7 linked regions of the Macaca fascicularis genome follow. The protein of the gene in region 5 interacts with the protein of the main gene of each other region in a biochemical or structural test. Links are inferred from orthologs where the notes say so. Each region holds a gene or a part of one and is shown on either strand. Other genes may lie near its edges.

The links.
Region 1: of the proteins of CCND1 (region 5) and RB1, one has a biochemical effect on the other in vitro, tested with the Homo sapiens proteins (15 studies listed by BioGRID, with this or other methods). The link is inferred for Macaca fascicularis from reciprocal best matches to the Homo sapiens genes CCND1 and RB1.
Region 2: the proteins of CCND1 (region 5) and CDK6 form a complex in vitro, tested with the Homo sapiens proteins (3 studies listed by BioGRID and IntAct, with this or other methods). The link is inferred for Macaca fascicularis from reciprocal best matches to the Homo sapiens genes CCND1 and CDK6.
Region 3: the proteins of CCND1 (region 5) and ESR1 form a complex in vitro, tested with the Homo sapiens proteins (2 studies listed by BioGRID). The link is inferred for Macaca fascicularis from reciprocal best matches to the Homo sapiens genes CCND1 and ESR1.
Region 4: the proteins of CCND1 (region 5) and EP300 form a complex in vitro, tested with the Homo sapiens proteins (2 studies listed by BioGRID). The link is inferred for Macaca fascicularis from reciprocal best matches to the Homo sapiens genes CCND1 and EP300.
Region 6: of the proteins of CCND1 (region 5) and CRYAB, one has a biochemical effect on the other in vitro, tested with the Homo sapiens proteins (2 studies listed by BioGRID, with this or other methods). The link is inferred for Macaca fascicularis from reciprocal best matches to the Homo sapiens genes CCND1 and CRYAB.
Region 7: the proteins of CCND1 (region 5) and CDKN1C form a complex in vitro, tested with the Homo sapiens proteins (2 studies listed by BioGRID). The link is inferred for Macaca fascicularis from reciprocal best matches to the Homo sapiens genes CCND1 and CDKN1C.

What each region holds. Positions count from the first base shown.
Region 1 is NC_088391.1:27,436,600-27,440,099, reverse strand, and holds part of RB1 (retinoblastoma-associated protein), read right to left. Parts: intron 2,955-3,500; coding exon 2,828-2,954; intron 1-2,827. UniProt on the Homo sapiens protein: Tumor suppressor that is a key regulator of the G1/S transition of the cell cycle. The hypophosphorylated form binds transcription regulators of the E2F family, preventing transcription of E2F-responsive genes.
Region 2 is NC_088377.1:128,509,896-128,514,147, reverse strand, and holds the start of CDK6 (cyclin-dependent kinase 6), read right to left. Parts: upstream 2,801-4,252; 5' UTR 2,709-2,800; intron 164-2,708; exon of another isoform or gene 1-163. UniProt on the Homo sapiens protein: Serine/threonine-protein kinase involved in the control of the cell cycle and differentiation; promotes G1/S transition. Phosphorylates pRB/RB1 and NPM1.
Region 3 is NC_088378.1:59,861,242-59,865,259, reverse strand, and holds the start of ESR1 (estrogen receptor), read right to left. Parts: upstream 2,801-4,018; 5' UTR 2,709-2,800; intron 1-2,708.
Region 4 is NC_088384.1:10,442,487-10,445,986, forward strand, and holds part of EP300 (histone acetyltransferase p300), read right to left. Parts: intron 3,385-3,500; coding exon 3,220-3,384; intron 1,988-3,219; coding exon 1,826-1,987; intron 1-1,825. UniProt on the Homo sapiens protein: Functions as a histone acetyltransferase and regulates transcription via chromatin remodeling. Acetylates all four core histones in nucleosomes. Histone acetylation gives an epigenetic tag for transcriptional activation.
Region 5 is NC_088388.1:5,018,136-5,022,372, forward strand, and holds the start of CCND1 (G1/S-specific cyclin-D1), read right to left. Parts: upstream 2,801-4,237; 5' UTR 2,643-2,800; coding exon 2,445-2,642; intron 915-2,444; coding exon 699-914; intron 113-698; coding exon 1-112. UniProt on the Homo sapiens protein: Regulatory component of the cyclin D1-CDK4 (DC) complex that phosphorylates and inhibits members of the retinoblastoma (RB) protein family including RB1 and regulates the cell-cycle during G(1)/S transition.
Region 6 is NC_088388.1:110,836,565-110,840,641, forward strand, and holds the start of CRYAB (alpha-crystallin B chain), read right to left. Parts: upstream 2,801-4,077; 5' UTR 2,755-2,800; coding exon 2,554-2,754; intron 1,764-2,553; exon of another isoform or gene 1,695-1,763; intron 1,473-1,694; coding exon 1,350-1,472; intron 16-1,349; coding exon 1-15. Other genes in the region: HSPB2 (heat shock protein beta-2), read left to right, coding at 3,860-3,953. UniProt on the Homo sapiens protein: May contribute to the transparency and refractive index of the lens. Has chaperone-like activity, preventing aggregation of various proteins under a wide range of stress conditions.
Region 7 is NC_088388.1:2,803,911-2,808,200, forward strand, and holds CDKN1C (cyclin-dependent kinase inhibitor 1C), read right to left. Parts: upstream 2,801-4,290; 5' UTR 2,701-2,800; coding exon 1,833-2,700; intron 1,298-1,832; coding exon 1,167-1,297; coding exon of another isoform or gene 1,162-1,166; intron 1,080-1,161; coding exon of another isoform or gene 938-1,079; 3' UTR 382-937; downstream 1-381. UniProt on the Homo sapiens protein: Potent tight-binding inhibitor of several G1 cyclin/CDK complexes (cyclin E-CDK2, cyclin D2-CDK4, and cyclin A-CDK2) and, to lesser extent, of the mitotic cyclin B-CDC2. Negative regulator of cell proliferation.

The sequences.
Region 1 (3,500 bases), on a different chromosome or scaffold from region 5:
CACACTCTATCACATTCTCCCTTAGATATTATTATATAAATGAACATTAAATTCTCAGGCCAACCCTCAAAAACTTAACTGTCACTTAAAATCATATTTCAAGGAAAAGTCTGTTGATTTATAACACAACAACAGGACATCATCTTCTGTTATACCCTTCAAAAGCATACCTCAAATCCCAAAAGTAACAAGAAATTCCTTTCTTACCTTCCTCCAGTACCTAGCCATAAATAATTTCACACATCCTAGTCCCCATCATGAGCTCCATTAGGAAATAAGATTTAAATTGGGCCAGTTCCCAGGGAAGGTAGAGACAAAGCCAGGATGAAAAAAGGGTAATAAAGCAGTAATATTTGCTTAAATATGTATTCAATTCTGAAGCTCAAAAGAGCCTCTACTGTTAAAACTATTATTTTTATAGTTTAGTACAAAAAAAATAAGTTATGTGAACTAGGCTGGAAACCTAACTACTATATCAAACTTACAAACAGATTTGGAACACAATGCACTTATAAATTGAAAACTACAGTATGTATACTCACTAATACTCTCTATAATCAGCTATCCCAAAATTTCAGAACACCAAAAATCTAGTATTTTAGGAAGAGAAAAGTGAAGGAGCTCTGATTCCATTTAATTGTATATGCACAAAAACAGCTTTGTACATGAAGTACCCAAGTCAGTTAAAATATACACTAGATGCCTGGGGATTATAATACCCAAGTCATACATTCAAGATACTTCAGTATTCCTTTCTTTTTAGATAAGAAATGTGAGACTATGTTCAATTCTTTGGAAATTATGACACTTGTTTTCTCCTTTTTACTGCCAGAGATTTTATTTAATGGTTTTAAACACTTTTCTTATGGGACATACATAAACACATTCTGTTGTGTTAATCAGATCAGTAAAAACATATATACTTTTATACTACTATTTTGAGAAAGTAAATTCATTAAAAGTATCTGTCCGAAGTGTAATCTACCAATAATCATCAAGAGTCATAAAAATGTTCATAGCTTTTGATTTAGTAATTCATCTTATACGAATTTATTCTAATAAAATAATCAGAGATTCATTCATTAATTTATTTAACAAATTATCAAGGACTCACTTTGTGCCAGGCATTAGTCTTACAAATACAAATGTTTATTACATTATTTTATAGCATCAAAACGTTGGAAAAAACCCAAATATCCAGTAAGAGTTAACAAATTAAAATATATCCAACAGCTAAAATATTATACTATCACTAGAAACTATATTACAAAAAAATTTAATAACATAAGAAAATGCTCATATGAGAAAAAAACAGGAAAATACAAAACTATGTGTAACTACATGTAACTATACATAACTACATGTATAATCTCAAATTTATATTTGAGATCTTATTTCCTAGGGACCTTGGTCAAGTTACTCAACCTCACTCTACTCGGTGTCTTCATCTGTAAAAATAAAGATTTTATATTTCATATCTCAATGGTTTTTAAACGAGTTATTTGTAGATTTGTAAAGTTGATTGTTTTGTGTGTGTGTGTTTTTTTTTTTGAGATGGAGTCTTCTCTGTTGCCCAGTCTGGAGTGCAGTGGCATGATCACAGCTCACTGCAAGCTCTGCCTCCTGGGTTCAAGCGATTCTCCTGCCTCACCCTCCCAAGTAGCTGGGATTACAGGCATCTGCCACTATGCCTGGCTAATTTTTTTATTTTTAGTAGAGATGGGGTTTCACCATGTTGGCCAGGCTGGTCTTCAACTCCTGACCTCAAGAGTTCAACTCCTGACCTCACCCACCTCAGCCTCGCAAAGTGCTGGGATTACAGGTTTGAGCCACCACGCCCAGCCTTATTTTTGTTTGTTTGTTTATTTACTTATTTATTTATTTTGCAACAGGGTCTTCTTCTGTTGCCCAGGCTGGAGTGCAGTGGTGCGATCTTGGCTTACTGTAACCTCCGCGTCCCAGGTTCAAATGATCCTCCCACCTCAGCCTCCCAAGTAGCTGGGACTACAGGCACACGCCACCATGCCCGGCTATGTAAAGTTCTTATACTATTGCCCCAGTACATATAAAACTCTAGTAATTATTTGCTTTTATTAAACATATACATTTATACATATGCAAAGAAAAACATGAAAGGAATATATCAAAATATTTTCAAGATCCTGAATTCTAACAAAACTAATTCTGAGTCAATCAGGAAATCTGAACACTGATTGCATATTAGAAGGTATAAAAATTATTTTATAAGGTATGGCAGTGTTTTTTTAAAAGTCCTTGTATTATAGTGAATAAAATATAACTAAGACCTGCTTTAAAATAGTTTGGTGGGAGGCATATATGGAGGGATTTTTTTCAAACTTTTTTTTTTTTTTTTTTGAGACGGAGTCTCGCTCTGTTGCCAGGCTGGAGTACAGTGGCACAATCTCCGCTCACTGTAACCTCCACCTCCTGGGTTCAAGCAATTCTCCTGCCTCAGCCTCCCAAATAGCTGGGACGACAGGCGCACACCACCACACCCTGCTAATATTTTTTTTGTATTTTAGTAGAGACAGGGTTTCACCATGTTGCCCAGGCTGGTCTCAAACTCCTGAGCTCAGGCAATCTGCCTGCCTCGGCCTCCCACAGTGCTAGGATTACAGGCGTGAGCCACCGTGCCCAGCCTCAAACATGTTTAATGTTAGCAGAGGTAAATTTCCTCTGGGTAGTGAAATTATTATTAGCTTTTATTGTCTTTATATTCTTCTATCTTTCAATTTTTATATAGTGATGTGAAGTTGTTTTTAAAATGAGAAAAAAAAATTTCAAAACATTTTAAGAAAATCCTTACCAATACTCCATCCACAGATGAAACTTTCTCCCAAGTTAACCAAGCTCTCTCTCTGACATGATCTGGTATCTTTAATTTCTGACATAACGCAGTAAAATCAGGTTCTTCGGTTTCTTCAAACTCAAGCCTACCAAATGAAAATAATCATATAATTGGCATATACTTATAAGTCAAATTGATTCAGTACACACTTGTTTCAATAGTTTGCACATAACACTACTGTGAAAGAGAACATTATTAAATACTTTAAGATCTTATTTTATCATAGAAAAAATTACACTTCAAATTTAAACATGATTATCTTTTTCATGGTCATTCCAAAACAAGGATACCACACAGTGAAAAATATTTGCTTGCATGGTAAGTCAAATATACTTCAGAGCAGCAAAACACTTCTGTGAAGGAAAATAAATGTAACAGCTAAAGCTGTTTGGGAAAATAGGACAAAGATAACAAGAAGATAAAAACCCATAGATAATATTATACAATTCAACACCAGTAACTTTGTTAAGCTGTAGTCTACTCTTATCAATGTTTCACATAACCTCCCTACTAGCACATCTTACATGATGTGACTGCTTATTTTTGTCCTTTCTCCTTAACAAAGACAAGCATTCAATAAATTCTTGTTGGCTAATTCCTTTTCATTCATCTAATTTCTATGTGACATCTA
Region 2 (4,252 bases), on a different chromosome or scaffold from region 5:
CCCCTCCTCCTCCTTTACGAAGCCTCCATCGCTACCCTCCGCGCGCTCCTGCCCTCTCCCAAGCCGCTTAATCCTTCCTGGTTCCTCCGAGAAAAGCGAAGTTACTTTTCTTTCCCTGCAGGGCTGAAGCCGTCTTCGCGCGGAGAGGTTGCAGGGGCCCCTCGGGGATGAGCGAGCGGCGCGGGACGCAGTGGAACGGGAGGGGGCGTGCCGAGCAGCCCAGAGTGTGCCGGGAGCGCGGGGGAGGGGAGGCGCCGGGCACGTCAATGTCACGGCTTAATATTTATCCCTATATCATTGTGTTGCGTCGCTACCCTCCCCGCCTCCTGAGGCCCGGACGTGCAGGGAGATGGGGTCCAGGGGTGCCGGAGGGCGTTCAAGGGTCGCGCACAAGCTGGAGCGGAAGGACTGTGGGTCCATCCGTGTGGGGCCGCAGAATGTGGGTGGGGGCTCCCAGGACCCTGTAACCCGATGCTGTGAGTGTGCGAGAAGGGGTGGTCAGACATCTGCTCAGAAATTGCTTCCTTTCTTTCTACTTTCAGTTTTTCTACGAGGAGACATTTAAAAACGACTCGCATACACAAATGGTCTCTTTGGGGTAAAGGAGTCTCGGTTGGAAACGGAATTCTCTCTCCGACTGGGAGGACCTCCCTGGTGGAAACCTTGGGAAGACCAGCCATCTGGTCGGGGAGGGTTGGGGCTAATCGGGGGTGGGCGAACGAGAGGTCCTGGGGGAGGGGAGACACTGTCCCCCACGGGATCCCAAGGGTGGGAGAAAGGGGTGTTCGTCACAATTTCGCTTGTCGTCTTCTTAAAGAATAATTTCAGGAAGAGGATAGCTTAATCGCGCCTCGTCCTGAAGTTTTAAATTGATTTCGACCTGAGCAAAACTCAACCTCTCTTTCAAAGGGTGGGGGGTGGGGGGTTAAACCCTGCGCCTCCAGGGGTGAGAAACAAGGTCTCTGCCCTCGGGGCCCGGACTCGCGAACCTTTTCCCACTCCCAGGACCACCCCGCTGTAGGTAGCGGAGGTGGCTGCCCCATTCCCTCTCCGGCTAAAGGCCGGGTCCAGGCTGCAGCCGGACGCCCCCGGAGCCCTCTGCATAACAAAGCGCCGGAGAAGGGTACCCTAACTTTCCCTCCCCATTCAGCAGCTATCTGGGACCTAGGGAGCCTCCCTCCCCCACGGCCGCCGCGGCCTCGGCAGGACTTTCACCACGCTGGCCGCGTGTCCGGAATTCCCGGGGCACCTCGGAATTACCTGCCTCGCAACCGCTGCCCCGCTCGCCTTTTGCCAGGAATTAAACAAACGGCGCGACCCCCACGATGAGCGCGTGGAGCGGACCGCGGCGAAAGCAGAGCTTCTGGCACTCACTCCATTCAGAACTTTCCTTAAAAGCCGAGGAAAGAGCCCCCAAGGACTGCCCGGGCGTCTGAGCCAGGTCGAGGGCCACACAGGTAGCCGGGGAGCCGCCGCCGGCCGCCCAACCCGCCTCTCCTGCGTCCCCCCATCCCCCTCCCGCTCGAGTCTAGCCCCGGGCTCCGCAGCGAAGGAAGCGTCGGGGACGTCCCACCCCCGCAGGGAACTTCGCCTGCTGCCCCCGCCGGGCCCCGCACTACCCTGACTCTCCCCCCACTCGCCCCCCAGACGGTCGGCTTCGGCGGAGAGAAACGGGAGCAGCAATGCCTTTTCCCCCCCTCTCCTCCACTTTTTTTTTGTTGTTGTTGTTGCTTTCCCACGCTGGCTGAATGTGACTTGACCCCATTTCAAAAAAAGTTTGACATAGTGCTTCAACATTTCCGCATTCCTCCGCGACTACAAAGGCTGCAGCCGCCTCCTTCTGCTTTCTGTCTCTGCTCTCTGTCTTCACACTCAATGAAATCCTTCATGCGCCTCTCCCGAAGCCTGCCAAGCACCACAAGGGTCGCCACCAGCACGGCAACAAGAGGCCACACCGGGGACCGCGACTCCCGCGTGTGCGCACACGCAGATGCGCCCATATGCACACGGACGGGCGCCCTGCGGGGACAAGGGCTGCTCACCACGGGGCGTGTGTTTAACTCCAATATTTTAAATGATAAAAGTAAACTTGGAAACTAAAGCAAACGTGCGTCTTCGTGGGGCTCCAAGCCTGGGCACCGGCCGGCTGCGTGCACTCTTCTGTGCATAACACGCCCGCAGGAAGCCTGCGTTAACATTTATCTCGTGGAGGGGAAGGTGGAGCCCACACCCACACCTCAGCGAGCTGGCGAGGGAGTTTTCGTGGGGGAAATGCAAGCACATTCTCCAGCATGGAGTCCCTAGAGGCAGTGCATTTTGAACCCTAAATGTGAATTATTATGTGAATGTCCGAGTAAAGTTCCAGTTCCGTTTGGAGAAACTGGATGAGGAGTGTTCTGTGTGAGTGTGTGTGCGCACGGGTACGTGGAAGCAGGATCTCGGTGTCGCGGGTGTCCCTAGCGTAGGATCTCCCCCTCTCGTCAGATTAGAATCCTCTAGCTCCCCAAAACTGGCCCCCATAACCAACGCCGTCTCAGTTCGTAAGGGGTTAACCAAAGCCGATTCCAGGGAAACACAGGTCCCCCCCACCCCCCGCCAGCCTCCACTTACCCCACCCACAGTTCTGCCTCGGACCCCGGCCAATCCCCCATATCTCCCCAGGGACCCCCCACCCCGCAGCCCACCCACCCGAGCGCACAGCTCCTCACCTGAGGGGCCCAGTCGCGTCGGGCCTCCTGAGGGGGCTGCGAGTGTCAGTCGGCTCTCCGCACGTGTCCGCGGCCTCGCGGAGCAGGTAATCAGACTCTGGGGAAGGAGTTACCAGCACTCTCTCCGGCGAGGGGGTGGGCACAGCGGCGGAGGGCGGAGGGAAGGCGGAGGGCGCCGCCCGCGCCGCTAGCTGGGGGCGGACGGGGGCCGCGGGGCTCTGGCCGGCGCTGGGGGCCCCAGCCAGGGAGGCAGCGGGGGCGACCGCGCGGGGTGGGGGCAGGGACCCGAGAAGCCAACTCTGCCGGAGACCCACCCAGCGGCGAGGCTGGGGGCTCGTGGCGCAGTGGCAAGAAAGTGTGCAAATTAAAGCCTTCCGGAGAGAAAGGAGGCGGCCAAGCCCCGGCAGTGCTCCGAGCTCCGGGCTCCCTAGCTCCCTTCTACGAGTCGGGGGCTAGAAAGGCGCGGGGCGGGGGGGTTGGGGGGGCAGGGGAGTTAAATGAAAATTTCCGGCTTTCACTGAAACTGTAGTAGGGGGATCCTGCGACTAAAATAAGCGGCGTTAGTGGGAGAGAGTGGGACGTGTCGTCGGGAGTCGGCGGAGTTTCCAAACCCAGGGTCGCCCAGAGTTGGGGTTTTGACAGGGTGAAGCAGGGGGTATCCTCACTGTGTGACGTGGACGGATGGGAAAAACACAAAACAACTAACAATAATTATGAAGGGCCGATGGGGGTGGTAAATACCAATACTTTCCAAGAAACTGAAAAATCAGACCAAAAAATAACTCTTCTCTTAAAAAAATAAAGAAAAAGTTTGGCAGGATGCCTTGCAGAAAAGAAAATACTAATCTGTTCAAGCACTTTTCACTTTCAGCATGAGCTACATTTGTTTTGTTTTCCTTCGCTTCCTTTCTGCCTCACAAAGCCCTATCTTTTCCTTTTAGACAGAGGGTATGGTTTGGAAATTGTCAGGCACTCTTATGGTTAACGATCTACTTGAAGGGGCTGGCGGGTTCACAATTATTAAGTGGTTAGTAACTGCTGAGGGTTCACTAACGTATTTCAGAGGAGCTAAAAGGACTAAAATTTAGTGTAAATAATAGAACTGCAGACAATAGATACATACACAGAAAGAGGAGTGCTCAGTTTAAATGCATTATTGGAAATCTGAAATTTGAAACCTTGTAAGAATGTATACTTTACCTGCTGAGAAACCCTTGAATACAATTATTTCAGGTGAAAATGAGCTTTTGGAGAAAAAAAGTCTTTAAAACCTTCTACAATGGAGTAAAAGAAAACTTGAAATAGCTGTCTTTTTGGAAAGAATTTGGTGTTCTCCCCAAAATCTCTATCTGTAGAATACTTGAAACCCTTTAAAACATATTAAAGAAAAACTTTTCACAAAATTATTTACTTCAGTGCTTTGTAGAAAAATTAAAACCCGGCAAAATTCTGTTTGAATTGGACATACTACTTCTATAAATCTTTTGACTTTAAAACCATGTTACTGATCTCATAGTAAATCAAATTTTTGCCTTTATAAAATT
Region 3 (4,018 bases), on a different chromosome or scaffold from region 5:
ATAGATAAATGGGAACACCAATTCAATAGCATTCATTAGCCATGAGAAACTCAACGGTAAAAGGCCATAAGCAACTCAATGCTATAAAGGACTGGAGATTTGCATCATTGGACAATCAAATGGGAAACCACTTTATCAATGGAACTTTGCAGGAGGAACAACGGAACCAGAAAAGTGGGGAGCTCTTGGCTGACTCCCAGTAGGAAAGACCTGTCACTAGGACTAGTCATCTCCTCTAATGGTCAATACTTACCTTAGCAGGGCAGGCGCAGTGGCTCATGCCTGTAATCCCAGCACTTTGGGAGGCTGAGATGGGCGGATCAGCTGAGGTCAGGAGTTCGACACCAGCCTGGCCAACATAGTGAAACACCGTTTCTACTAAAAATACAAAATTAGCTGGGCATGGTGGTGCATGCCTATAATCCCAGCTACTCGGGAGGCTGAGGCAGGAGAATCACTTGAACCCAGGAGGCGGAGGTTGTGGTGAGCCAACATCATGCTACTACACTCCAGCCTGGGCAACAAGATCGAAACTCGGTCTCAAAAACAAACAAGCAAACAAAAAAACTTGCCTTAGCATATCTTGGTTTAGTCTCCTTGAGCTTCCTTCTTCTAAGCCTTAGCCTGGCCATCTTCAGGAAAACCTGTTCTTGCTTATCTATGCCTACATGTAATATGATATTTAAAACCTGGATTTAGACTCAAACTTGGCTGATTTACCAGCTCTGTGATCTTAGTTAGACATATGAATCTTCTAAGCCTCAGCTTCCTTATCTGTAAAGCAAGACAAATACTCTCTTCCCACAGGTGTGTGGGAGGATTAAATGAGATAACTTTGATACATTTAGAACAGTTATGCACCAAACTCTATTCTAAAGACTGCTGTTTATCTTATGGAGTCAATATCATCATTTTGTTTTCCATCCCACATAACAGTTGGATGCCAATATGAAGTGTATATTTATAACTGAGAATCAACTATTTTTACTGAATGAGGAATATTAATGAGAATGATTTTAACCAAAACAGCAAACGATGGCACTGGTGTGCTGTGTGTGAGTGAGAATAGCTCAGGAATACCAGAGGGGAAAAGGATTTCAGAATCAATAAGTACTTTTGTGAGCTATTTCACAAAAATGACATGAAAGAAAATATTTAGAGATACGGAAAAGGTCAAACTAACCTGAAACTCAGTTTTATTGACAAAAGTTTAAGTTACCTTTAGCATATTTCATCATCCCATAATCAGGACCATCAATAAATATTTACTGAGTGCCTACTGCAGTCAAGACACTGCAGTGTGGGCTGCAGTTAATGTCCAGGTGATGGGAGAATTGCTTAGAAGTACGAGCAATTGTACTTTCCTGGATGACTAAAATCTAATTGGAGAGTCAGGCATAGCATAAAAATAAATCTATAGAAGAAAAATCAGTAAACAAAAGTAGCCTACAAAATTTTCCCATGTTTTTTGGGATGCACTTATATGGCTTTAAATTTTAAAAATATTTTGAAATATAAAGCTTAAAAGAGTGAACAACTCGGGTCATCATACTTTTTTTTTTTTTTTTTTTTTTTTTTTTGCCAGAACCTCACTAGAGGAAGATATTAGATTGGATGATATGAAAATGTCAATATTTAACCTTTTTTACATCCAAAAAAACCCCAAAATTTCATGTGGTTCAACCTTGATTTCAGTAAGCTATTTCTGAAAGCTGGATACATGTTGAAATATGAGTAACATTTGCAGTCCATCTACTCTGGACTCATGCTAATTCCTTCTGGGGCCTTTTCAGATTCAAGATAGATTCGCAGGAAAAAATGCATAATATTTAAACTGACGGACTGGAAAATTAGCATGAAAAGTTCACCAGTGTTATGGAAAATTTCACCCAACACATTTCGTAAAGAACAAAAACCTAAACACACATGGTAGATCCACTTCAGCAAATCATGTTAGTGCAGCAACATTATCCAACAATAAAATTTTAGAACAATTTTCTCCCCAAGGGACTCATTTTCCTTAGAAAATTATGCAAAGTGTGAACAACTGTGAAATACAATTGTCACCCAAAATATTTAACTTGACAACAGATTGAAAACTGTTACAATGTAATATAATTTACAATGACTAAAATTTTAATTTTAATGGGTAGTACCCATAAAAGTTGTCTAGTTTAATTAATTTCCCTTTTTCATTGGTGCTGTGGGTCTTAAATTTATATTTTGCTACATCTTTATAAAACAACTTTAAATTCCCACACATTAAATTTCTCTACAACTGTCTATCTAAATCAGAGTTTTTAATGATAAAGACATGTGATGCCCCTGTATGAATAGACAGAGAAAAAATTAAAACGAACAAAAAATGTATTCCCCCTGTGTAAGATATAGACTTTTTTTATCATTGAAGACTTGTTTGGCTAACTTTACAGTCCAAAAATTCTCCTAATTTGAAAGATTGTCATTATAAATTAAAATCTCTGAAAACCTCCAGACTATGTATCAAGTCTTTGAAGATATCAACATTGTGCCCATATATATCCCATAGCCTTGCCTTGGTATCACCTTGTGAGACACAAATGTTCTTTCTATGGCATGTGCTTTTATCCTGATGTGTGAGGCCTTGGTCTGATAACCTCCTTACATAGTCATCTTAATATTCAGTTGCCCAAGGGAAAGTTAATAGAGTAGAAAAAATTAAAACTTACCTTCTTTGGTAGCTACAGAATATAATTCACAATCAAAGGGATTGGTATCAGATTTTGGAGATATTTGAGGCTCTGCGATTATTTCTCTGACTGCTTAGAACCTTAGAATCTACCAGAATAAAATCTATTAATCAAATATTTTTTTTGGACTAAGCTTACACAGTTTGTTCAGGCATTGTTAGCATGTCTGGAAGAGTCATCTCTGCTTTCGGGAAAATTACGTTGACTGAAAGAAAGCACAAAACAATCGTCTCAAAACCGTCAGTAATTTTTCTAAAGGATGTCAAATGTGCACTTCACAGCGAGGGAAAATGTTGACCAATACTGTTGTTTGTGATAAATACATCACATCCTAGTGAAAATGTGGTATAGCAGGTAACAAGTTTCCATTCTGTGCACTAGAACTGAAAAACTGTACCTAGAAAGGATATTCTGAAAAATACTAATTATAGGGACAAAGCCTTAATATTCTTAATACAAACAGCTCTTAAAAGTCTATTTTAAAAATGGAACATGTGAACAGAAAAACTAATAAAAATTTACAAAGGACAAAATAATGGAGACCAGTAAACATAATTTTTAAAGGTCACTGTTAATTGGAGAATTTCAAATTTTTAAAACTGTGTGCTATCAGGTTTTAAATATTTATGGTGGTTATAATGTAGGAAGTAAGCATTCTCAAACACTGCTGGCGAAGTATAAAATATTACAACCTTCCTAGAGCACTATGACTTTATTCAAAATCTTAAAATACTCAAAGGAAAAAAAAGAGCTTTCTTTCATCTACAGTTCAAAATAACATAACTTAAAACTATATTATTCCTAGGCCTATATATAACAAGACATCTTCAAAATGTTGCCTTCTTATGCATGAATATGATGTAATTCTACTTATTTAGATCTTCTTTAATATTTCTCAAGAAAATTTTTCCTCTAATAAGTTTTTCTACATCTTATGTTAGATTTATTTTCTAATGTTATTGTCTTTTTTCTAGTATAGTGAAATGACATTGACTTTTGTATATTAATTTTATATCCTGCCTTCTTGCTGAGCTCTCCTACAATTTCTAATAATTTATCTGAAGATTCTTTGGAGTTTTTTATGTAAATGTATATATCATCTGAAAATAATTAGTTTCATTTCTTCCTTTTCAATCCTTATATCTGACTCTACAATTCTCTAAATTTTTGTCATATATATTTTGAGGCAGCTTAATTGGGTATGTATACATGTTTAGAATGGATATTTCTTGGTGAATTGAAACTTTAACCTTATGACTTCCTCTATTACTATAATGTTTTTTATCTAA
Region 4 (3,500 bases), on a different chromosome or scaffold from region 5:
GTCACCCAGACTGGAGTGCAGTGGTGTGCTCTTGGCTCACTACAACCTCTGCCTCCTGGGCTCAAGCAATTATCCCACCTTGGCTTCCTGAATAGCTGAGACCACAGGCCCACACCACCACGCCTGGCTAATTTCTGCATTTTTTGTAGAGACGAGGTTTTACCATGTTACCCAGGCTAGTCTCAAACTCCTGAGCTCAAGTGATCTGCCTGTTTCAGCCTCCCAGAGTGCTGGGATTACAGGTGTGAGCAGGTAAAGCAGGCTAAGCATCAATGAGACTGGCGAATGCTTAGTTTTTTTTTTTTTTTTTTTTTTTTTTTGAGACAGTGTCTCTGTCACCCAGGGTGGAGTGCAGTGGCCAGATCTCGGCTCACTGCAAGCTCCGCCTCCCGGGTTTACGCCATTCTTCTGCCTCAGCCTCCCGAGTAGCTGGGACTACAGGCACCTGCCACCTCGCCCGGCTAGTTTTTTTTTTTTGTATTTTTTTAGTAGAGACGGGGTTTCACTGTGTTAGCCAGGATGGTCTCGATCTCCTGACCTCGTGATCCGCCCGTCTCGGCCTCCCAAAGTGCTGGGATTACAGGCTTGAGCCACCGCGCCCGGCCATGCTGAGTTAGTTTTACCATACTCCTCCTGCTCTCTTTTCCTGCTTTACCTTTTTGGTATCTTGAGACTGACTATAAATAGAACTGAAATGCACATCCTGTGATTTTTTCTCCCTTATTCAATAACTCCTTCAGAGTAAGAATGGTCTAGGTCAGGTAGAGCACCACACACAGTGGACATTTTGCCCCAAGGCAGTCTACTTTAAGATGCAATCCATGGTTTACCCTCAAACTAATTACAACAAACCAGACAAATCCAAATATGGAGACAGTATGAAAAACAACTGGCCTGGACTCATGAAGGTCCCCTGTGCAACTTTCCTGTGTAACTTTTCCTACAGGTTTGAAAGGGAGTGAAATGGATAAAAAATCTTAGTCCTTGTAGACAAAGCAATAAAATTCTTGTTCACTGAAGTTTGAAAAGAACTCGTTAACAACCATCAATTTTCATAACCATTAGTGTAAAAGGTATAAAAAGCTGGTATTATTATGTATTTGACATTAATTAGTATATAACTATAAATGCCTATTAAAGTAACAAAATGTAAAACATCACCTTAAGAAATTAGGAACTTGTGAGAAACTGCTGTATTGATAACAGATTATTCAACATCTGTGCACACTGGCAGCCACACTCACAGTGTCTCTGGCCAGCAATGTTCGCTGCTTCTGCCACCCTACAACCAGGCCAATACCTACATTTACAACCTAAATTGAATGTGTCCACAATTTAAGTCAAACCTATTACAATATATTCTAAGGGCTTTTCCCGACTGCCTAGGATTCTGTGGCATTACTTACTGCTTGAAATAGCTAGTAACTATTAATTGTTAATAATCATTACCTAAGTGAGGCAACCTCCAAAGTGCTGGGATTACAGGCATGAGCCACCATGCCCAGCGAACAGTGATTTTATTCATTTTTTTTCTTTTTGGAGATGGAGTTTCGCTCTCATTGCCCAGGCTGGAGTGCAATGGCACGATCTCGGCTCACTGCAACCTCCGCCTCCTGGGTTCAAGCAATTCTCCTGCCTCTGCCTCCCGAGTAGCTGGGATTACTGGTGCCTGTCACCACACCTGGCTAATTTTTGTATTTTTAGTAGAGACAGGGTTTCACCACGTTGGTCAGGCTGGTCTTCAACTCGTGACCTCAGGTGATCCACCACGCCTGGCCAGAAATCTTGCTGTTTTTCCCCAACTGCGTGGGTGGCTGCATCTTACCTCTTTATGCTTCTCCATGGTGGCATATAGTTTCTGTGAGAGGTCGTTAGATACATTGGGCATCCCAGGTTTCTTCTTGTTGCCCCTACTTAGGCTGCTCTTATTTTTGCTGGTTTTCTTATTATTCTTCTTTTTAGCATTTTTACTGTCTCCCTTGGTCACCTGCAGAGTAGCACAAAGGAGACAAGAAAATAAGGTTTTTGTTAAGTAATCTGGGAATAACACTATTGAATATCTCCATTCTTTGAAACTAGGTATCATAATCTTATGCTTGTATCTTATTTTACTAGCTGTTCTCTTCACTTATTCCTTCTCCTTTGTTATTTGAACTAATTTTCTCCCAGTGATCCTTCATTAAGGCAATGGCAGCCCTTTAGCTTTCTGCCTAGAAGAGGCCACAGAATGTACAGACCCTATAGATTGAATGTATCCCAGATTGGAGTTAGGGAACAAGGAAGGGTTGGCACTTTGGGGTAGTGAAGAGTGTATCAAAATGGGGAGCCAGAAGACCTTGGTTTTATCTCCTTCCACCCACATTCTAAAATGTATGAGCCCACAAATACTAAACGATAAGGCTGTAAGAGTTTGTTAAACTATTTAAGGGAGCCTTTTGTAAGTTAAATTCAATGGAGGTAATTCTAGATATGCTATAGGGAAGTAACTGGTGAGGTTACTAAGCCGTAATAACAGGTAAATTCTGGCTCAGGCCTGTTTTGCATAGCTAAGAATGGTTTTTACATTTAAAAAGAGCGTGTGTGGTTTTAGAAGAGAGAAAATATGCCAGAGATATGTGACACACAAGGCCTATAATATTAATAACCTAGTCCTTCACATAAGTTATCAGTTTTTCAGGATTTCCTTCAGTTTCTTTTATCATTTCACATTACTCATAGTCTGAGATACCATTTTAAAATGGGGTCTGATGTTTTGAAAGTTTAATACCACTGAAACGGAACCCTAGTAACCTTTCTAAGCCAACATTTCTTGCCCAACTTAAAGAGCTCTTTCACACCTGAGAGGTTTAAAACCCAATTGAAAGTTTAGGCCGGGCGCGGTGGCTCACGCCTGTAATCCCAGCACTTTGGGAGGCCGAGGCGGGCGGATCACAAGGTCAGGAGATCGAGACCATGGTGAAACCCCGTCTCTACTAAAAATAGAAAAAATTAGCCAGGCACAGCGGCGGGCGCCTGTAGTCCCAGCTAATCGGGAGGCTGAGGCCGGAGAATGGCGTGAACCCGGGAGTCGGAGCTTGCAGTGAGCAGAGATTGTGCCACTGCACTCTAGCCTGGGCGACAGAGCGAGACTCCGTCTCAAAAAAAAAAAAAAAAAAAAAGTTTAAATGCACTTTTGGATTAAATATTATAGAAGTTTCAAAGGAAACTCAATGCCCTTACATCTGTGCTTTCATTGCTGGTGTTTTCTTCTCGTTTTCTCTCTTCTTCCTCCTGTTCCAGTTCCTTAATGCTTTCTTCCAGAACATTGGGCCAGAAATCACCCTCGAAGTAAGGCAATTCCTTTGCACTTGTTAATCTATCTTCAGTAGCTTGTTTAAAAATATCCTGTGAAAACAAGCATGTACAAATAGGAATTCCTATGTTCTTTTAAAGCATTGATTATAAAGAATCATGGCTGACAAGAAACATGAAAGCTTAAAATGTCTTGAAAGCTGGCAGAG
Region 5 (4,237 bases):
GTTTGTTCTCCTCCGCCTCTGGCATTTTGGAAAGGAAGTGTTCGATGAAATCGTGCGGGGTCATGGCGGCCAGGTTCCACTTGAGCTTGTTCACCAGGAGCAGCTCCATTTGCTGCGAACACAGGGTGAGCGGCCATCAGGGGAGGTGCGGGCCGGCCCGGGGGCGCGGGGAAGCCGGCAGCATGGGGGCCCGGGCCATGCAGCACCTCCCGCTCAGAGCACTGGCCCCTGCGTCTCGTGCGGTCCTGGAGGTGGGAGGGGAGGGCTGGCGAATGATGGGGGTGGTATCGGGGAGCCGGGGCAACACGCGATCCCAGATCAAAACAGAAAAGGTGCCCGCTGCGTGAAAAGACTCTGCAAGTGGAAACAAAAAGACCTCCCACCACCTGAAACAGAAGGCTCAGTGCGGAGCGCGGCGCTCCTCGTGCAGCCGCTGGAGGGCGCGCGCCGCCCACTTTTCGGCCACACTGCCGGGCGCGAACGCGGTGGGAGTCGCAGGCAAGCGACTTGGGGGCGGTGGGACGGGGGCGGCTAGGATCCCGCCCGCTCCCGGGACAGGGACGCCCGGCGGCGGGGCCGCCCTCCCTGGGAGCAGATATGTCAGAGGCGGGCCGGCCGCCACTGCCTGCACCTTCCCCGGCCCCGTGATCCTGCGTGCGACTCTCGGGGGGCAGGGGGCGGCGGGGTCCCGCGGTTACCAGCAGCTCTTCGGGCCGGATGGAGTTGTCGGTGTAGATGCACAGCTTCTCGGCCGTCAGGGGGATGGTCTCCTTCATCTTAGAGGCCACGAACATGCAGGTGGCCCCCAGCAGCTGCAGGCGGCTCTTTTTCACGGGCTCCAGCGACAGGAAGCGGTCCAGGTAGTTCATGGCCAGCGGGAAGACCTCCTCCTCGCACTTCTGCTCCTCGCAGACCTGCGGAGGCACGGGGCCCGTGACCGCCGCCGCCAGGTCGCGCCGCCCCACCCCCGCCCCCGCACCCCCCCATCGCGCTCGGCAGGACCGCCAGTTCTGAAGGGCGCGGAGGGGTGGGGGCCGGGGGCGGAAGGACCTTCCTGTGATGCGCCCCCTCCCCCGCGCGTCCCCAGTACCCACCCTCCCCGAAACTGAAAGGGAAAGTCCCCGCGAGGCTGGCACGGTGGGGGCGGGAGCGGGCACAGCTGGGCGGCGTGCGCGGCGGCGCGGGCTGCCAGCCCTGGGGACCCCGGCCCGCCCTGGAGCTCCGTGGTCCCTCTGACTGAGGGTCGACACCCACTGGGGTGCGGGGCCGCGGAACGGGCCGCGGGGTTGGGCGCCGCGCCTGCGAGACACAAAGGTGGCGTCCCAGGCCGCCGCGCCGCATTTCCCCAGACGTCATCTTTTCAAAAAATATTTAAAAATATTAAAAAAATAACTAAGTGCATAAAAAAACCCTGAAAATGACCCTCGGGCGACCCTTTACCCAGGCCGAGGGTCGGGAGTTCGTTACAGGCTCCGGGGGGAGCCCCAGGAATTCAAACTCCGGGGCCCCCCTTCCCCCTGGGCGCGGGCGGCGTTTCCCTCTCGCAAGGGCACCACGCCGCACTTTCAAAAATTATTTAAAAATACTTGCGGGCCCCTCAGGCGCCCACCGAAGGTCTGAAAATGTGCTCCCAGGCCCCCGGCTCCCTCAGAGAAGGTCCCCCAAGCCGAGATCCCTGCAGACGGGGATCAAGCCCTGGCGTCTTGGGGGCCACGCGACCTTGCAGCTCGGCGTGCTCTCCGGCCCTGGCTGCCCATTTGGGGCGCCCCGGGACTCGCTGCTTAAACAAAGGGCCCCCCTTCCCGAGCGGGGTCCCCCCAAAACTCCCCATGCCGCGTCCCTGCGCCCCTCCCGCGGGCTCCCGGCGGCCGCGCGGCCCCTAGCTGCGGCCCCAGCGCCCGGCGGCCGCTCCCCGCCCCCACCCTGCCCCCAATTATTAATAAACACTTTTGCTTTGCAATAAAAGAGCAAAGATGGCGCATAATACTGGCACGAGCGGCCCTTGCATACGTGTCCATGGATATTAATTTAAAAATCAAATCTATGCCCCCTCCCCCCGGAGTTGGCGGCTCTCGGCCGCAGCGGCCGCGAGAGGAGGCGCAGCCGGGCTGGGGCGCAGGCGGGGGGCACAAAGCGCACTCAGCCTGCCAGCCCGCACCCTCGGGCCCATTGGGGTGCCCCGACACTGGCTTCTCCCGACGGCACCCCTCCCCAACCCCCTTCTCCCCTCCCACGAAACGCAACTTATAGCACCCCCACCCCCACCCCTTCCTGCTTCAGAAAATACCCACAATTTTTATTTTTAAAATGCGGATCCCTAGCAACACCACAGCAAACTTCAAAGTTCTAGCGGGAGAGAAGGGAGGGGGGTGAGGAGCAAAGAAACGTGGGTCTGGGCAACAAGTTGCAGGGAAGTCTTAAGAGAGCCGCCCAAAGCCCCGCACCTCCAGCATCCAGGTGGCGACGATCTTCCGCATGGACGGCAGGACCTCCTTCTGCACACATTTGAAGTAGGACACCGAGGGCGCGCAGGTCTCCTCCGCCTTCAGCATGGCCCGCAGCACCCGGTCGTTGAGGAGGTTGGCATCGGGGTACGCGCGGCGGATGGTTTCCACTTCGCAGCACAGGAGCTGGTGTTCCATGGCTGGGGCTCTGCCTGGGCAGCTAGGGAGGGCTGTGGGTCCGGGCTGGGTCCGCGCTCGGCTCTCGCTTCTGCTGCCCCGCGCTCCCTCGCGCTATTCTGCCCCTCGCCGGAGCGTGCGGACTCTGCTGCTCGCTGCTACTGCGCCGACAGCCCTCTGGAGGCTCCAGGACTTTGCAACTTCAACAAAACTCCCCTGTAGTCCGTGTGACGTTACTGTTGTTAAGCAGAGATCAAAGCCGGGCAGAGAATGGGAGCGGGAGGGGGGCGGGGGCGGGCGCAGGGGGAGGGGGCGCGGGCGCCAAACGCCGGGAGCAGCGAGGGGCAGAGCCCAAAAGCCATCCCCGAGGCGCCGCGCCTGCCCTGCGGCGGAGTTGCCCCCGTAGTCCGGTTTTCATAGAAATGCAAATCGCCCCGCTGCAGCCTTTCTCCCCGCCAGGGAAGAGGGGTGCAGGGGGCCCCGTCCGCCTCGAGTGGGTTCCCCGGGATTTAGGGGGTGAGGTGGAGGTGGCTCTGCAGTAGGGGACCACTAGGAAGGCCGGCAGGCCACACGCAGCCTGGGGAGACCACGAGAAGGGGGGACTCTAGGGCGCGGCGACACCCCATATCCAAGCCGGCAGAATGGGCGCATTTCCAAGAACGCCACGAGGGCACCCACGGGCGGACAGACGGCCAAAGAATCTCAGCGACTGCATCTTCTTTCATTTTCATTAACACGTGTAAATTTCAAGAACTATTTAGCATACAGGGACGGGGAGGACCGGGCACACAACCCCTGTGCAAGTTTCATTCCGGCGCACAGGGGCGTCGTTGCAAATGCCCAAGGGGGTAACCCTAAAAGTTAAAGGAATTTCAGCTTAGCATGCGCTCGCTCAAAAAATAAAATAAAATAAATGCCCGAAAATTCCAGCAGCAGCCCAAGATGGTGGCCAGCATTTCCTTCATCTTGTCCTTCTAGCCTGGAGACTCTTCGGGCTGCCTTCCTACCTTGACCAGTCGGTCCTTGCGGGGATCCCCAAATGCACCCCCTCCCTTCCCGTGCCGGCAATTTAACCGGGAGAAACACACGTCTGAATGGAAAGCTGAGAAACAGTGATCTCCGTTCTGACTCATTTTTTTAATTAAAAAAGAAATTAAATTGCTGGAAATATTAGTCGCCTCAGCCTGGGACAAGACCACTGGAAGGTTCCTAATTGGTTTTGTTGGGGGTGTAGACGTCCCTTCACCTTTAGAGTTTGCCCTGGGACTAAATTCGTGAGCATGAGGGGGCTGGCAGGAGCGGGCATAATTCAGAACAATTATCAATTAAACAAATGAGTGTACTGATCTGATTTTTAGCAAAATCGATAGGTGTTCGTGGTTTCATGAGAGGGTCCCCACTACCGCAAACTTAAGCAGATGTAAATTAAAATACATAGTTTTTAAAATAACAGGTTCTGTCTCTTTGGTGCATTAAAAAATAAAAGGACATTTTACTGTCTTAACTTTTGTTTTTGTTATTTTAATAGTACCTGCCCCAAATTAAGAAAACTGTTCATTTACTTCCTTTTGAATATAGTTTAGTGTCATCAAACCACCGTATCCTCTTAACAGTAA
Region 6 (4,077 bases), about 110 Mb from region 5:
GAAACCATGTTCATCCTAACCCAAAAGAATGAGGAAAGAGGCAGAGAGATAAGAATATGAACTACTATCACCTGCCCAGAACTCAGGCATCCTGATTTCCCCTTAGGTGAGACCAAATGCCATGACAACATAGGAAAAATAAACAGTGCTTTGTTTCAGGGTTGTGGCTAAGATGAAGTTACCTAGGTAGTCACTCCTACCAGTGAGAATCTGAGAAGTCTGAAACAGTACAACACTTCATTGTTTTTCAAACCCTGAGGCATAGATATGTTTAGGAGTATTTCCCAAAGGTTTAGATAATGTTGACTGGGCCTACAGAATTTGGAATCTCATTTAGAATCTGAGTCCCTGAGGAAGCCCTGAAATTGTCCTGACTCTTCAGGAATGTCCCAGAAGGTTCCAGAACAATAGGACTGCTGCTGGGGGAAAAAAAAAAAAAAGACTCCATCCAAGGAGACTATGACCCAAACCTAAATCATATGAGCAAAATTGAAACAGCCTGAGGACATTACTAAGGACAAACTGTACTGGTTGACGCACAGGTTCTGAGCTATCGCTGAGCTATCGTTAATTGGTGAGAAGGAATTTTAAAGCCCTCTTACAAAGTCATGAAAAGCTGTTCCATTCGTCAGAATTCCCCCAAAGAGTAGATGACCTTAACCCGTATGCCTGCTGACTCTCAAGCATGTAGCCAAACAGGCTCTCATTAACTGATTTCCGCATGGGCTATAGGGGATTAAAGACTGAGCACAGCTCTGAAATTTAGACAAACCAAGTAGTTCAGCATTAAGATGGGCTAAAGAAGAGACATGGATTCTTGCACAGCTAACAGAGAATTCACAACTCAAGTGCCTTTAGGGTACCTGTAGTTAATGTAATTATGCAAAGCAACTAGGTGTCTGACAGCCCTATACCTAAATCAGTGGTCCTCAACCTTGACTGTAGATTAGAATTACCTTAAAAAATGTTGATGCCCTGGGTCCCACCCCTAAAAATTCTGATTTAATTGGTCTGGAGTATGCCTGAGCATTAGGTTTTTTGAAAGTTCCCCTGGTGATTCTAATGTGGCCAAGATTCAGAACCTCTGGCTAAGATGGGGCATCAACATCCCATCATCCCATCTAAGGCGATCAAATCAAACAAAGACCACATCTCTGGCCATAACAACAGTAACAACAGCAATAGGTCTATCCCTAACTTAGTCTTCTAGACATTGATTTGTAACCCCTGATCTAGACTATTATAGCTTGGGACTGGAATGTAGCCAGCCTCCAAAGCTGATAGCACTACCTGGACTATTACAGTATACACTGAATGAATGAGCAGAAAACAAAAACCAAGCTACATACCTGGCGCTCTTCATGTTTGCCATGCACCTCAATCACATCTCCCAACACCTTAACTTTGAGTTCCTCTGGGGAGAAGTGCTTCACATCCAGGTTGACAGAGAACCTGTCCTTCTCCAGGCGCATCTAGAAATAGCAAGGTAAGGGAATGGGACGGGAGAAAGATGGCGAAAGTACTCATTATACTGGTGTTGTCTTATTCTGCAGAGTTGCTTTCTGTCCAGGTAATTCATCCTTCTCTTTTCTGCTTTAAAATATCCCCTTTTTAAATAAACATGGCTCTCTGCTTCAGGGAGCCACCACAGTGATACCTAAGGCTCATGGTGATCCGACCCAAACTTTATTTACAGGGACAGAGAAGAAGACAGATCACCCAGGGGACCAGTCGCAAGGATGGGTGCAGGCCTGGCATCTGCTGCCTCTCTGGCTCCGATGCCTGGCTTTGTGGTTTGTCTGTGAGACAAAGGCCTCTTCTTCTGGCTCAGGTCTCTTTGCCAGTTTTCCACCCACCCAATCTGGAATGTTCTGCTGGTCCTGCTTGTCCTTCCAAAGCCCTTGCCCACTCATCTCCTGTTTACTCACACTCGAATATTTTTAAACCAGAGCGTTATCTGTGACAGCTTCTGTCAACCTTATATGTTCACCCTGTTCTCTCACCCTCTTAGGACGAGTGGGGGTCCCTATATTGTTTCCTCATAAGGCTTGGTTGGACCCAGGCCAATGCCCTGTCACAGCCCTGAGAAACCCAGAAAATCACAGAAGAGGGAATAAAAAGGCAGAAAATGCCCATGAGGGTGAACAGCTCAGGCAGGGTGAGGCAGGGCTCTCTCCTGGCTCTGACACCTGAGATGGTAAAATTGGTCAAGAGTCCATGGTGTTAGAAGAGATGAGCAAAGGAGTTTGAAGGCAGCTCTTTCCCTGCAGATTGTTATGAACCAAACCAGAAAGGGGTACCCTGCAGAGAAGTTAGGGGATGGAGGATGAACTTGACAGTGCATGAAAAAAATGTAATAAATGGGATACAGAGGACCATCAAGTAGAAACAGGTGACGGGGGAGGGAGGAACTAGCAACCTCCTCATTTTTCTTCACATTTGGATACACATGTGCCTAAAATGGTTTAGGCAGGAAAGGAGAGGAAAATGGATGGAGAAGTTTACAGGAGGTTCCAGTAAGGACTCTCCCATTCTAGCAGTGGGGAGACTCACCTCTGAGAGTCCAGTGTCAAACCAGCTGGGTGCCCGCAGGAAGGAGGGTGGCCGAAGGTAGAAGGGGCTCAGGGAAGTAGACGTCGGGAAAAGATCAGACTCCAACAGGTGCTCTCCAAAGAACTGGTCAAAGAGGCGGCTGGGGGAGTGGAAAGGAAAGAAGGGGCGGCGGATCCAGGGGTGGTGGATGGCGATGTCCATGGTGGCTAGGTGAGTGTGGGGGGTCAGCTGGCTGGTCAGCTCCTTCAGCTGCAGCTACAGCCAGCCCCTTATATATGCAGTCTTGTGAAGCTTCTGGAATGGTGATGTCAGGGGTTTTATTATCCTAGCTCACCGCCGGTTCATGGAGACTTGTGATCGGGGATTTGGCAGTGTGACACATACCCAGTACTCACTGAGCTAAGAAAAGAGAAACACAAACACGTCTGAGCCGGCCAGTGACTTGTCATGGTCTTGTTTCACTAGCTTTCTGTACACACCCAGTGGCACCCACCCCCACCCCAGTTCTCTGAAGCTGGTACAGAGTCAGGAATCCCAAGCAGGCACGCGGGTGGGTGGAGGGGCAGGCGGTGGAGTGTGCCCCTCCTCCTCCTCCTCTTCAGTCCTGAATGCCAGGGGAATCAGGCCAGCAACTATCTTGGGCCTGGGCAGGGACTGGAATCTTCCTAGGCTGGGCCCCAGGGACATTAACTCTTTGTGAGTCCTTGGAAGAGAGCAGTGATGGTCAACATGCGGGTACCAGCCATCTGCCTCCTGCCCTGGGTTGACCTGGGTTTAGGAGAGGACTCCGACATCTGGGCAGAAAGACCCCACTCCCTGAAAAAAAGAGCAGAAAGATTTCTTGCATCTTTCATCCTATGTGGCTCTCAGAACATTAAATCCAGGAGTGCTTTAGGAATTGGGTGCACAGTGCCGGCCTCCAAGGAGGAGAAAATGAGGTGTGGAAACGTGCAAACCGTTTGTGAGGGTTTCAGCGAGGCCTCTTCATGCCCCAGGCACCACCAGCTCCCCCTTCTCAGCTCGTTCCTAACCAGGACCCTCAGCTGTCCTCTCAGGCCCCCTGCGACAGCTGAAGAGTGTGCGGGGGAGGGGACTAGGGGTCCAGGCGGCGCTGGTCACACCCTCGTTGCTCTCACTCAGGGCCCCCACTCCCCGCCCCTCCCCCCCAGAGGCTCGGCACTATTTTGGGTGGTGTCGACCCCGCCCCCACCTCCTATCGAGCCCTGGCTCTCCGGGCAGCTGGAGGGGTCGCGCTGCGCCTGTTGGGGCTGCACCTCGGACCAGGGCTCCCGCTGCATCTGCAGCCATGTCGGGCCGCTCAGTGCCACATGCCCACCCAGCCACCGCTGAGTACGAATTTGCCAACCCGAGCCGCCTGGGTGAGCAGCGCTTCGGAGAAGGTATGGCACAGATGCCACCCCCTTGCCTCCCACCCCCACCCCCTGAAATTCTGGGCTGACCTCCCAACGTTACTGGCCTCCACCCCACTCTGGGCTTAACTGATCTCCTGGGACCAGCCACCCC
Region 7 (4,290 bases), about 2.2 Mb from region 5:
AAACTAGCAGGGTCCTGAGCCCATCAGCTGGGGGCAGAGGGGTTTCTCATGGTTTCCTTTAAACAAGCCTGAGTCTGGGCAGCAAGTCAGGGGCTGTGCTCCCTGCCTGCTGGGGCTATGTGAAGCCCACGCTTGTCTTTCTGCAGCCCCGCAGGTGGGAGGTGATAAATGCAGGGTGCACTGCAGGCCGGCCGCCCCTCCTGAGATAAGGGAACTGGAGCAGGTGGATTTGGGCCAGGCCCAGCCAGGAGAGAGGCTTCCCCTTTTGGATGGACTGGGGATGCCCACTTTGGCCTGCTCTCTCCTGCGTTCTAGCTCTCCAGCTTTTGGGGGTGCAGGAGAAGGGAGCTGGAGGCAGGCACAAGCACAAACAGACTGGAGTTGCAGCATTTTTCGGCCTCTTTATTTAGAACCCGGCGGACGAGGGGCCGGGGCAGTGGTACAGACGGCTCAGGAACCATTTTAACAGATTTGTCTTCAAGTTTAAGATAAACACAGTAATATAAGAGAGCGAGCGAAAGCGCGAAGAGACTGCAAGCTAGATGGGCATGTATGGCAGCTACAGCTTGTGAGTGACCCCTTTCCCCAGAGTCCGCGATGGAAATAAAGTTACACTTGTCAATAACCGGATGTGGGAGATGGATGGTGCCTTTGGCATAACCAATAACCAAGCTAGTGCGTGGCAGAGCGGTCCACGCCTGGACATAAATAGAAAATATAAGTTAGTATAACTTTAAAAACTTTTTGTACAAATATACATGGTTTTTTTATTTTTTCCTTTTTTTTTTCTTTTTTCTTTTTTTTTGCACTGAGTTTCAGCAGAGATTAAACATTTTATATAAATGACTCTTAAAGCTTTACACCTTGGGACCAGTGTACCTTCTCGTGCAGAATACATTTAGATATAAAAAGACGTTATTAATACATTGCACAGTTTTCAAAATTTAAACACAAAACCGAACGCTGCTCTGCGGCAGCCGCCGCCGGTTGCTGCTACATGAACGGTCCCAGCCGAGGCCCAGCGCCCTTCCAACGTCCGCTGCCCCGGCAGGTTCCCTCGGGGCTCTTTGGGCTCTAAACTGTGGGGAGAAGGGCGGTCAGGAAAGCCGGCGGGGACCCCGCGGGTCAGCCCCCCGCACCCCCCAGGTGCGCTGTACTCACTTCGCTCACCGCAGCCTCTTGCGCGGGGTCTGCTCCACCGAGCCCACTCCAGGGGCGGCGCTGGGAGCCGGACACGGCGCGGGGACATCGCCCGACGACTTCTCAGGCGCTGATCTCTTGCGCTTGGCGAAGAAATCTGCGGGCGACAGCGCGCGCGGCCGGTCAGGGCGGGGCCGGCCCGGAGCCCCGAGAGGGGGCCAGGAGAGGGCACGGGGCGCGGGCCGGCCGGGGTGGGGGCGCCGTCCCCGCCCGCGCCGAGGTCCGCGGCGGGTCAGCTTTGTTTACGTCGCCGCGCAATGTGCTGTGTAAGCATTTCCCCTTGTCCCGCGGCCAAGCCCCCCGGGGCCGCCGCCGCGCTTAACCCCCTCCGCGCCGTGCTCACGGAGCCCGGCCGCGCCCGGGGAGGGGCTCCCGCGCCAGGGGCGAAGACCGCGCTCCCGGGGGGTCGCGGCCGGGACTCAGCCTCCCACCCCGCCCGCGCAAAGCCGCTGGAGGACATAACAACGGGGCGGGGAGGGGGGGTGCGGGCGCAGCCGCGCCCTGAGCGCTGCGGGCCCTTTAATGCCACGGGAGGAGGCGGGAACCCAGCTAGGCCCCCGAGGGCTGGGGGGACCGGCCGGCCGGACAAAGCGGGGCCGGGCCGGGCCGGGGCGGGGCCGTGCGGGGCTCACCGGAGATCAGAGGCCCGGACAGCTTCTTGATCGCCGCGCCGTTGGCGCTGGCGGCCGCGGTGCCGGCCGCGGGACGTCCCGAAATCCCCGAGTGCAGCTGGTCAGCGAGAGGCTCCTGGCCGCGCTGCCCCTGGTTCGCGCCCTGCTCGGCGCTCTCTTGAGGCGCCGCGTCCTGGGCCGGGGCCGGGGCCGGGGCCGGGACGGGGGCCGGGGCCGGGGCCGGGGCCGGGGCCGGGGCCACGACTGGGGCCGGGGCTGGGGCCGGGGCCACGACTGGAGCCGGGGCCGGAGCCGGAGCCGGAGCCGGAGCCGGGGCCGGGGCCGGGGCCGGGGCCAGGACCGGGGCCGGGGCCAAGACCGCGACCGCGACCGGAGCCGCAACCGGAGCCGGGGCCGGGGCTGGAGCCAGGACCGGGGCTGGGGGCGGGGTGGACGGCGGGGCCGGGACCGGGACATTAGGCAGCTGCTCCGGCGCCTCCTCGAGGCCGTCGAGGGACTCAGCGGCCGGCTCGAGGGGCGGGCTGACAGCCACCGCGACCGCGACGGGCCGCGGCGCCAGCAGCAGGCGGCAGCGCCCCACCTGCACCGTCTCGCGGTAGAACGCGGGCACCGAGTCGCTGTCCACTTCGGTCCACTGCAGGCGTCCTGGGCCCCGCAGCGGCATGTCCTGCTGGAAGTCGTAATCCCAGCGGTTCTGGTCCTCGGCGTTCAGCTCGGCCAGGCGGGCCTGCAGCTCGCGGCTCAACTCCTCGTGGTCCACCGGCCCGAAGAGGCTGCGGCAGGCGCTGGTGCGCACAAGTACTGGGAAGGTCCCACGGGCGACAAGACGCTCCATCGTAGATGTGCTGCAGAGGGACGCGTCGGACATGGCCCGGGGCTGCGCGAACGCGGGCAGCGAGAGAGGAGAGGACAGCGAGAAGAAGGGGAAAGGAGAGGAGGGGAGGGCGGAGGCCGGGTGCAAGGGAGACCCCGCGCCGCCCGACTCTGCGTGTGCGAGGGACGCGGCGGCTACCTGGCTGTCCGGTGGTAGACTCTCCTGCGTCGGGTTCGTCTGTCTCGTTCGGCCGGCAGCCGCGCCCCCTCGATGCCTGCTGGCTCGCTCGCTGGATCAGACCTGGCTGGCACCCCTCGAGCACAGCGCACTTGGCCTGTGGAACGCCCAGCCCGCCTGGGCCCCCTTTATACGCGCGGGCCCCACCCCCGTGCGCGCGGGCCCGGCCGCGATTAGCATAATGTAGTATTTTCAGTTTCAACAACACCGCGGCGATTGGCTGCCTCCCCGCTGCCCCGCCCCTCCGCGGCCCGGCCCCAGAGCACCGCCCATTGGCCGCGCGCACACCCACCGGGGGAGGGGCGGGGCGCGCGGCCGGGGCGCGCGGCTGATTGGCGGCCGCGGGGCGAGCGCGCTGTAGCAGGGGAAGGGGGCGGTGAGCGGGGCGGGGGCGGGAGTTAAAGGGCGCTGCGGGCGGTAACGTGACACCGCGACGCCCCGCCCCCTCGCCCCATCCCCCCTGCAAACCCCCCCCCCCCCGCTCCCGCCCCCCGCCGGCTCCTTTGTCTGCAGGCGGGGGCCTCAGCCCTGCGCGGCAGGGGCCGGCTCCCGGCGGGTCCAGTGTCCGGCCAGGCCCAGCTCGACCCCGGCCCGGTCCGGACCCCAGCTCCTAGCTCCGTCCCGCGCTCGCCCCTGGGCCTCCTGCGCCAGCTGACAGGGCTTGGACCCGCCGCTGCCAGCTCGGCCCTGGCCTGCGCCGGATGGGGTCTTCGGCTGCCCCCGCGCGGCCTGCTGCTGCTGGGCTGGTGTCCTTTCGAGGGCTCCGCGCACCTGGAGCCCTCACACACCTGCTGGCCCTAAAGCTCTCGAGTCGGGAGGGAGGACAGGGGTCAGCTCCACTCTTTCCCCGTGGGACCATGTGTGGGACACCTTGAGAGACTCCCACCAGCCCCCTGGAGCTGGAGTCTGAAGCCGCTATCTGCGGAGGTCCACCCTGCCCAGTAGATGGAACAGAGGCTGAGCCCATCATGTCACTGTCGGGGGTCCCAGCCCTTCTCAGCCTTGGGCCGGACCACTCCAGCCCCGGAATCTGCCTGTCCAGGCTAGCTGGAGGCAGTTGTACTGGGTAAAAGTGAAAGATCTGCCCGAGGTCACAGGGGAAGGGGCTGTGAAGAAGCATGCCCCTCCCCCGCCTGCAGCCCTTCCTGGTACAGACCCTGGTCGTGCGCACACGCACACACACACACACACACACACAGTGCTTCACCCCAGCCAGGCCAGACCAAGAGAGACCATTATTTCCCGCTGCCTCCCTTTTGACCCACTTACCATGAGGCAGGAAGCCCCCTCCTGAAACCGGGAGCCTCCCAGGTCGGGAGGGGGACTGTCAGACACCTGTTGGAGGGTCCAGCAGCCCATGAGCTCTAAGCCCCTATCTCAGGTGAGCCTGTGAGCCAGCCAGAGAGA